2 linked regions of the Danio rerio genome follow. The protein of the gene in region 1 interacts with the protein of each later gene in a pairwise test. Links are inferred from orthologs where the notes say so. Each region holds a gene or a part of one and is shown in the gene's direction. Other genes may lie near its edges.

Region 1 (5,003 bases):
ATTTCACAGTATGCCTGATAATATTTTTTATTCTGGAGAAAGTCTTGTTTGTTATATTTTGGCTAGAATAAAAGCAATTTCAAAATCATTAGCCCATTTGAGCTTTTTTTTTTTTGTTTTGAGAAAATTAACAGGGGGTAATAATTCAGGGGCTTTGATAATTCTGACTTCAACTATGCATATAAGTCAGCAACATATATAGCACTGTTCCAGTGCTTTTAATGTAAATAAATCTTACACATTGCGTCTTTAAGGAGGACACAGTTCAAACCTAAAACATGGATAACCATTTTAAATCTTTTTTTCCCCACTTTCCTAAAATTTAGGATGATTCTTTTATTCATTCAATATACAAAAATGTTATGCTGAACGATTTAGGTATTTTATTTCACCCATATTGTCATATTTACTTTTCACAAATGTGATTTGAAACATTTAAGCAGACGTTTGTTCTATAAACAATTAAAGCCATGCAAAAAAAAGTAAGAACCCGCTAAATATATACCCATACACATTTAATAGGCTACTCTGGAAGTGCATGTGGTCTAACAAAACCCAAATAAGCGGATTTTTGCAAACTGACTCGCTTATGCAAACATTAAATTTCAAAGTCCAGAAATGATGTGCTTGATTAAAGCAATATAACATAAAAGAGACGTCGAAGCAACAATCGGGCCCAAAACACAGCTGAAGTTGGGGATTTTTAATGCAGTGCTGAAGGCCGAGCAGCATCACAATGTCGCACTTCTGTGTCCAGCAGCAACTCTAACGCATATAAACATCATTAATAATGCTTAATGTCACTAACAACTGTCTCTTTTCTCAATAATACAGAAACTGATGATTAATGTCTGCATCTGATTCAAATTCTTCAGCAGTCTAAGATGGATCATTCATTGTGCTGGGCTCTTTTGCGCGTTTCTCTCAACTTGGCTCTAAACTTTGGTATTAATGCTGTAAAACCACCAAATATATCAACCGAGCTTACCTTGGTCTTTAATGATGCCAGAAAATGAGCAGCTGATCGGGACGCTCCGCATGATGGGCTGTCATGTGTTTTGATGCCGCTGCAGTGAATCTGTCACCAGTCATGAGATAAGAGCACAACACTGCGATCAAAATCTCCTAAATTCTCAAGTACATCAGCTAAATGTCCACATAGAATGCATTGGATAAAATATATATCTTTATATGAGTGAATCCATATTTGTAGCTATCAGTGCTTTATAGCAAAGCAGCTATATTCATTTTTTAATAAGGTGACTTTTATTTTATTTTCGATCACCGAGGGTGCATATAACAGGTGTAAATAAAAACAAATTCACTTTTTTGTAAACATAAAAATCTCTAATCTACTGTTATAAACATTCGCTTATTTCAAAACTCTATAATTTAATCTTCCGTGCATTTACTTACGTTATTTACTTTTATTTTGTATTTAAAACGCTTCTGCCAAGGACAAATTCTATTGGACTGTGAGGTAACATATGCGGAATTTGAGCCAATCGCAGAACGATGTTCCCACACACGTTCTTCCGACTCATGCACTTCTTGCAAATTAGCCGGGGGCGCGCTGGGCTATCGGCTAAACGGCTAACGGAAGAGGGATAAAGGAAGATCAGACATTTCTCACACAGTAAAGCAGAGTAATCTGCACCAGTGCAAAAAATATTCTGATCTACTCTTACCACACACGGTAGGTCTTCTATTTCATATCGATGCATAGTAAGCAGGTGCACTTTATGAGGTCGTTTGTTAGCTGAGATGCTAAAGGAAGAAATGAGGGTCACAGGACGCTTTTGGTTTGTTTACCTTGTTTATGCTATAGATTTTAGTGTATTTTTAAGTGTTCTCAATTTTAAGTGTTCACTGTTAAATAGCTTTTTTTTAAAACCCTAATCGCCTGTTCAATTAATTAATTGTTTTAATTTTTCCACTCTTATTTATTTTATTTCTTTGCTTACCTCTTTATTTAGTATTTAATGTTTTGTTTACTTGACTTGTATTTTACTTGGGTATATTTAATGTAATAGCTGCTGTGTATTGTAAAACATCAGTAATTACACTGTGCCCTCATCACTTTATTTATTTTGTTGACTAAATTTGCACAATCCGTAGCATAAGGGAGGCACTTAATATGCAGCCACTGCAAAAACATAATTGCTGTGCTCATTTAAACTGTGCATAATTGATAAGCATTGACAGTGGTTTTCATAAGAAGTATTGACTATTTCAGGTTTTTCATTTAATTTTTTTAGGCCAAGCAACTCCCATCTCAGATAAACATGTTCAGTGTGCTGTAATATAATCAAAACCCCACTACAGTCTAGGCAGCGGTGCTTTCTTTCAACACTTCAAAATGGAAACAGAAGCAGTGAGTAAATAAACAGCTTAAAGAACTGTTTTATTTATGTTTTGGTAATGTTTATGTATTTTTTGGTACTTATTTTCTGTTTATTTGCTCCTCAGGAGGTTATCCCTATTTGGCAAAATAAACCGCATGGATCAACTCGTAGCGTGGTGAGACGAATCGGCTCTACGCTGCCTCTTAAACCATGTCCCAGAGCTTGTTTCCAGGTATGGGAATGAAAAATAAAATAAGTGGTCTATACAAGTTTCTTGAACTCAGAATAGTGGACTGCTAGAAACTCCAAGGTTTTATTCCCAGAGAAAACAAGAACTGTTGAAAAAAATCTTCAATGCAGTAAATGTTTGTATATTAAATGCTATACAAATTTGTTTTTACATGTGGTGATGAAATTATAACAATTTTTTCCAAGGATTTTAGGTCTTTTAGATCTTAAAGATTAGATGACAATTTAAATATTATGCCTGGAAAACGTACATTCGGAAACTTATTTAGATATTATTAATTGATGGTTTGGTTTATATTTAAAAAACAAAGTATATTAGATTTTTTTTGCAGGAAAACTTACTGTCATATACAGTAAGTTGTGTGACTAACATATTTTTAATTAGCTAATGATGTACAGATTTAATTTAACATATTTAAAAAAAAAAGAAGTTAATATTCCTTTTATTCCCTGGGGGCAGTCAGCTATGACTGCAAATAGTCAGTGTGATTTTATTTGTTTACTCTTTTGACTGATTGAATTAGAGCCATATTTAAGATAAAGAAAGTTGTTTTTTATCCACCAAGACTGAAAAAAATGTTGTTTATTACAATTGTATATATAGTAAAATCTTTCAAAAAGTTATTTAGAATTTATAAGGGTAAAAATGTTACTTTATAGAGATGCTTTAAATCAGGGGTCACCAATCTCATTCCTGGAGGTCCGGTGTCCTGCTGTGTTTACCTTGCCTCAACACACCTGCCTGGGTGTTTCAAGTATACCTAGTAAGACCTTGATTACCATGTTCAGGTATGTTTGATTAGTGTTGGAGCAAAAATCTGCAGGACACCGGACCTCCAGGAACAAGTCTGGTGATCCCTGCTTTAAATGGTCATGATCCCCCCCCCAAATCCCCAGGTCTGAATGCAGACACAGTAGATAGCAGTGCAGCAGGTCTCTTTCCCTCTCTATTCCAACAATTAACCCTGCCGGTAATGCAGAGGATTTTAAACATTGGCGAACACAGCAGCACTGACAGAGGTGATGTGTCTGAATGGTAACGAACTCAACTGATAAAAGACAAAGTCTGCCATTCTTTAACTCTCGTACGGCTCTCCCGACAAAACTGCTTTCTGCAAACAATCAGTTTTGCTGTATCGGCCCTGACAGAATCGCGGAGAAAAACATGCAACAAACCCTGTGGATCATGGAAACAAACACATGCGACCCGTGCATGGACGCGGTCTTACCCAGTCAATGGCTGTCTCACAGCTTGGCAGGTCTGTCTTGCCTTCGGAAAGCTTGTGCTCTTATGAATAATTAAGAAGCAGGGTCTTCTCATAGGATAAGAAAACTTCGCTATGAATAATAATGAGAAACCGAGGCGTCATCACTCCACTAGCAGATTCGAGCTACATCACCGATTTTGATTCTGCCACAAAAGTATTTTAAACCTGGAAGACTAAATTAGTTGACAAGCTCAAAATTATCCAGTTTTTCCCTCAATTAGAGCTGATAGGTGCTAATGTTGTCTTACCTGATGCTCAAGACACGCAAATCTGTTAAAATGTCAAAAAAAAGTACTCCAGGGTGTCTTGAACCTTTAAAGAGATGTTTTTGGTCTTATGTTTTCCAGGAACTCCCAGGCCTTCCTTCAATGCGTTCACTTGACGGTCCGCTTGTGCCCACGCTAGCAGACATTGCCTGGATTGCAGATGATGAAGAGGAGACATATGCGAGAGTCAGGTAAGTCTGTCAGACTGATGCACTTTTCTTCACTGAGTGCATTGATTCTTAATTCCGGTCCTTGGGGGGGGCCCCCAACCCTGCACGTTTAGTATGTCTTTCTTATTTTACACACAAGGATCAGTTCATTGAAATATATGTTAATAAGCTGATGATCTGAATCAGGTATGTTAAGGAAGACATAAGGTACACGAGGTCCGGAGTTGAGAAACACTGACATATAGTCAACATGGCAACAACACACTGCTAGCACATCTTAAGCAAGCCCATTTAACTACTGAGATATTGTGACATATAAGTTTCTTAAAGAAAATTCCGGACTGCAATTGTGTATATTTTTTAGGAGTGACACTCGTCCACTGAGGCATGAGTGGAGACCTACGCCACTGCTGGTGATGCACAGAAACTCATCTGTACCCAACTTCAGAAGAGAAGGCCGACGCGTGGAGGGATTGAGGAAACCAGGAGTGACTGCTCTGAACCGCACCACAGCATTACAGGATGAGCTGAGTCGACTCCGAGCGCAGATTGCCAAGATCGTTGCTGCAGATTCAGGTTGAGCAGCTGAATAAAGCTAATTCATTTGTCTAGCTTGTTTTATTTATTTAAAAAATATTTTATTTGTGGTAAATTAATGCTTAAAGCACACATGAAATCAAAACTAACCATATTGATTTTGTTAGC
Region 2 (3,685 bases), on another chromosome or scaffold:
GATTTATACTTTGCAACTAGCCTGCTCCAAGAGCACTCTGAAGCAGGTTTCATTCAGGATGTCTCTGTAGATCCCTGCATTCATCTTTCGCTCTATCCTGACTAGTCTTCCAGTTCCTTCAGCTGAAAAACATCCCCATTGCATGATGCTGCCACCACCATGCTTCACTGTAGGGATGGTATTAGCCTGGTGATAAGGGGTGCCTGGTTTTCTCTAAATGTAACGCCAGGCATTCACTCCAAAGAGTTAAATTTTAGTTTTATTAGACCAGAGAATTTTGTTTCTTATGGTCTGAGTCCTTCAGATGCCTTTTGGCAAATTCCAGGTGGGAAGTGCCTTCTGTCTGGCCACTCTACCATACAAGTCATTTACGTACAGATGGATGTCCTTCTGTAACGTCCACTTCTTTCCACAGAAGAATGCTGGAGCTGACAGAGTGACCATCGGGTTATCAGTGGAAACGGAATGTACCTGAGCTTAATTTAGAGTTTCACAGCAAAGGCTGTGAATACTGATATACATGTGATTTTTCCCGTTTTTTTTGTTTGTTTTTTTTTTCGATAAATTTACAACAATTTCAAAAAGTATTTTTTTTTCTCATTGTCATTATGGGGTATTGTGTGTAGAATTTTGAGGAAATAAATTAATTTAATCATTTTTTAAATAAGGCTGTAACATAAAAAATGTTGAAAAAGTGAAGCGTTAAGAATAATTTCCACATACAGTGTATATAGACTATATTTTTTGGTGCATTTTAAACAAAAGGGTTTTATTTAACAGTTCCATTCATTAAAATAAGTCTTCGCTCACCAGACATCTTTAGGTATAGAAAAATAATACATTTAAATTCAAACAAGATATTGCAAAAAAAAAACTAGAAAATGCCAACAATTTTATATTTTTGTTATTAAATATCTAATCATATGTTTATAAAGTTTTTATTTATTTATTTTGATAATGAAACCAAATCAAATTATAATTATACAAATTATAATAGATCAAATAGACTCAATCAGAAATAAAATATCTTAAATGAAAACGATGTATAAACGATCATATAGATGAAGATTAAACAAACTCGATAAAATAAACTAATTAGATAAAATACATCTGCATTATTGAGTAAGGGCTTGATATAATCTTCACAATAAATTCATTAGTAGTATGAATTGGTCACATTTAAGAAAAAGTTAACGATTTAATTGGTTAATATGACTCGCTTCATATGTTTCTGTTAATTTTCTGAATGAAAGTAATGGGACCCTACTGAAAAAAACAGCTTAAACCAGCCTAGGCTGGTTGGCTGGTTTTAGCTGGTCGACCAGGCTGGTTTTAGAGGGGTTTTGGACATTTCCAGGCTGGTTTCCAGCCATTTCCAGCCTGGTCTTAGCTGGTCAGGCTGGGAGATGACCAGCTAAAACCAGCTTGACCAGCCTAGCCAGGCTGGTAGCCCAGTCAAAATCAGCTATGTCCAGCTTAAACCAGGGTGGTCAAGCTGGTTTTAGCTGGATTTAGCTGGCCATTTACCAGCTAAGACCAATGGCTGGAAACCAGCCTGGAAATGGCCAAAACCCTTTTAAAACCAGCCAACCAGCCTAGGCTGGTTTAAGCTAGATTTTTCAGCAGGGGAGTTCCCAGATTGGTGGGCGAGAGAGTTGTTTTTCTACTAGTTACCCGATGGGCTCACATCGGGTTTTCTCTATACTTGCATCAATGATTCTGTGATTGATTCCGTGGTCTGTTAACAAATGCTGGGAATGTGCACTTATCCTGGCTATAAACATCAGGCTTGACATAGCGGCTCGTTCTCATACTGGATCTGCAAACGTGAGAAAGATTGCAAACTTGCATACATTTTGTAATGTTTATTTTTAAGATGTAAAAAATAAAAATAATCAATGTAAACATTTAAATGCTTTGTTTGGCATCTGAGAACATTTTTAGAATCATTATAAAATAAGTTGAAATATTTGAACCATTTCACCGATACTGACAGTTTGAATAAATATGTGGTGTCACTTAACAGTGATCATAAACGGCTACGGAGTTATTTCTCAATTCAAATAAGTAGCGGTTTGAACCTGAAAACACTCTTCCATACATCACAACTGAAGTGTATGAAGGCTAATGTTTGTGATGTATTTGTACAGAGGCACGTCTCCAGGAGAAACCAAGCTGCTGGCCTCTGAGATCTACGAGATCCTGCAGAACTCCAGCAGTGCAGAGGCTGAACAGGCAGAAGCCGGAGCCTCCTGTAGAAGAAAAGCCCAGTTCTTCCTGGGCGCAACCAACAAACGGGCCAAAACTGTGGTGCTTCAGATTGATGGGCTTGATGATTCGGTAAGCACAGACAATTGCTTTGTAATGGAGCGTTAAGAGATTTGGTTTTGGCTCAATGTGACTTCTATCTCTGGGTTTTCTTTGTCAGTCTCGGAGGAGTCTTTGTGAGGAGGCTCTGCTGAAGATTAAAGGAGTCATCAGTTTTACCTTTCAGATGGCCGTGAAGAGATGCGTGGTCAGAATCCGCTCAGACCTGAAGGCAGAGGTCAGTTCCCAATCGAACACTGTCCATTTAGAAGAACACATCTGAGAATTAAAAATTGATTTCATTATAATCATCTATTTTATTTTATTTAAACCATTTTTACATTTCAAATAATGATTTATATAAGAATGAACATAAAATGTGTTCGCCCTCTTGGTAAATTTCAATTTTAAGTATTTTTTCCCCAATTTCTGTTTAAAGGAAAGATATTTTTTTCTACACATTTCTAAACATGCTAGCTTTAAAGCTTTAAAATCAGAAACTCCTTTTCCTCATTTGTTTTTTTCTTTATATTTTCTTTTCTTTAGGCCTTGGGAACTGCTATAGCTTCAACCAAAGTCATGAAGGCACAGCAGGTTGTGAAAGGGGAAGATGGAGCAGAGGTCAGTCAAACAAACAAACACTGACCATAACCAAACACACACACACACAAGAAAGATACACTGTTCAGTGTAGATTAGTTATCCATTTGACTCAAACTGCACTTCCTGTAGCTGACGATGTTGGATATGATTCTGTCTGTCTGATGGCTAAACCCTGCTAAGAGTTACTCTTATTCCCCTCATCACATGATCATTTAGGATGTCACCTTGCCTCTGAAAAAGTCAAAGGGCCTTGCACACACGTACATGCACAGAGTCTGGTAATTGAGGAGAGATGTGTCCTCTCTAGTTGAATTGGAAGGGCGATCTGTACCTGCAGCAGTGCAGTTGTGACCTGTAGTGGCTGCAGAACAGCACCTTTGGAAACCTCTTCATCATACACTTTCATTATTGACCAGCAGGTGGCACAATTGACTAAGAATTAACGTGCTGAATGGAAGAACTAGAAATGATGACATTTCACACTAAACTTTATATATTTTTTTTTTCTGTAAATGAGTGGAAGATTAATCACAATTTAAAAAATGTAATTGTTTTTATTATCTGTTCACCTTTTTGTTCTAAAACATTTTAGTAAATGTTAAATTAAATAAATTACACAAGTATTTTACTATAAAAGCAGAAAAGGTATTATTGTTATTAAAAACAATAATAATTATAGAAATGTATTTTTATTGGACAATATTTTTGTAAACATGTTAATGAAATGTTAAATATTTTATTAAGTTTTAAACAAAAACAATTGGTGCACGATGAA

The links. The genes of interacting proteins can lie anywhere in the genome.
Region 2: the proteins of mtfr1l (region 1) and armc1 interact in binary tests that used the Homo sapiens proteins (3 or more experiments, as listed by UniProt). The two-hybrid records come from large-scale screens. The link is inferred for Danio rerio from reciprocal best matches to the Homo sapiens genes MTFR1L and ARMC1.

What each region holds. Positions count from the first base shown.
Region 1 is NC_133192.1:26,101,874-26,106,876, forward strand, and holds the start of mtfr1l (mitochondrial fission regulator 1-like), read left to right. Parts: upstream 1-1,560; 5' UTR 1,561-1,696; intron 1,697-2,258; 5' UTR 2,259-2,359; coding exon 2,360-2,374; intron 2,375-2,469; coding exon 2,470-2,577; intron 2,578-4,209; coding exon 4,210-4,319; intron 4,320-4,662; coding exon 4,663-4,874; intron 4,875-5,003. UniProt on the Homo sapiens protein: Mitochondrial protein required for adaptation of miochondrial dynamics to metabolic changes. Regulates mitochondrial morphology at steady state and mediates AMPK-dependent stress-induced mitochondrial fragmentation via the control of OPA1 levels.
Region 2 is NC_133199.1:28,661,640-28,665,324, reverse strand, and holds part of armc1 (armadillo repeat-containing protein 1), read left to right. Parts: intron 1-2,150; coding exon 2,151-2,340; intron 2,341-2,428; coding exon 2,429-2,545; intron 2,546-2,853; coding exon 2,854-2,928; intron 2,929-3,685.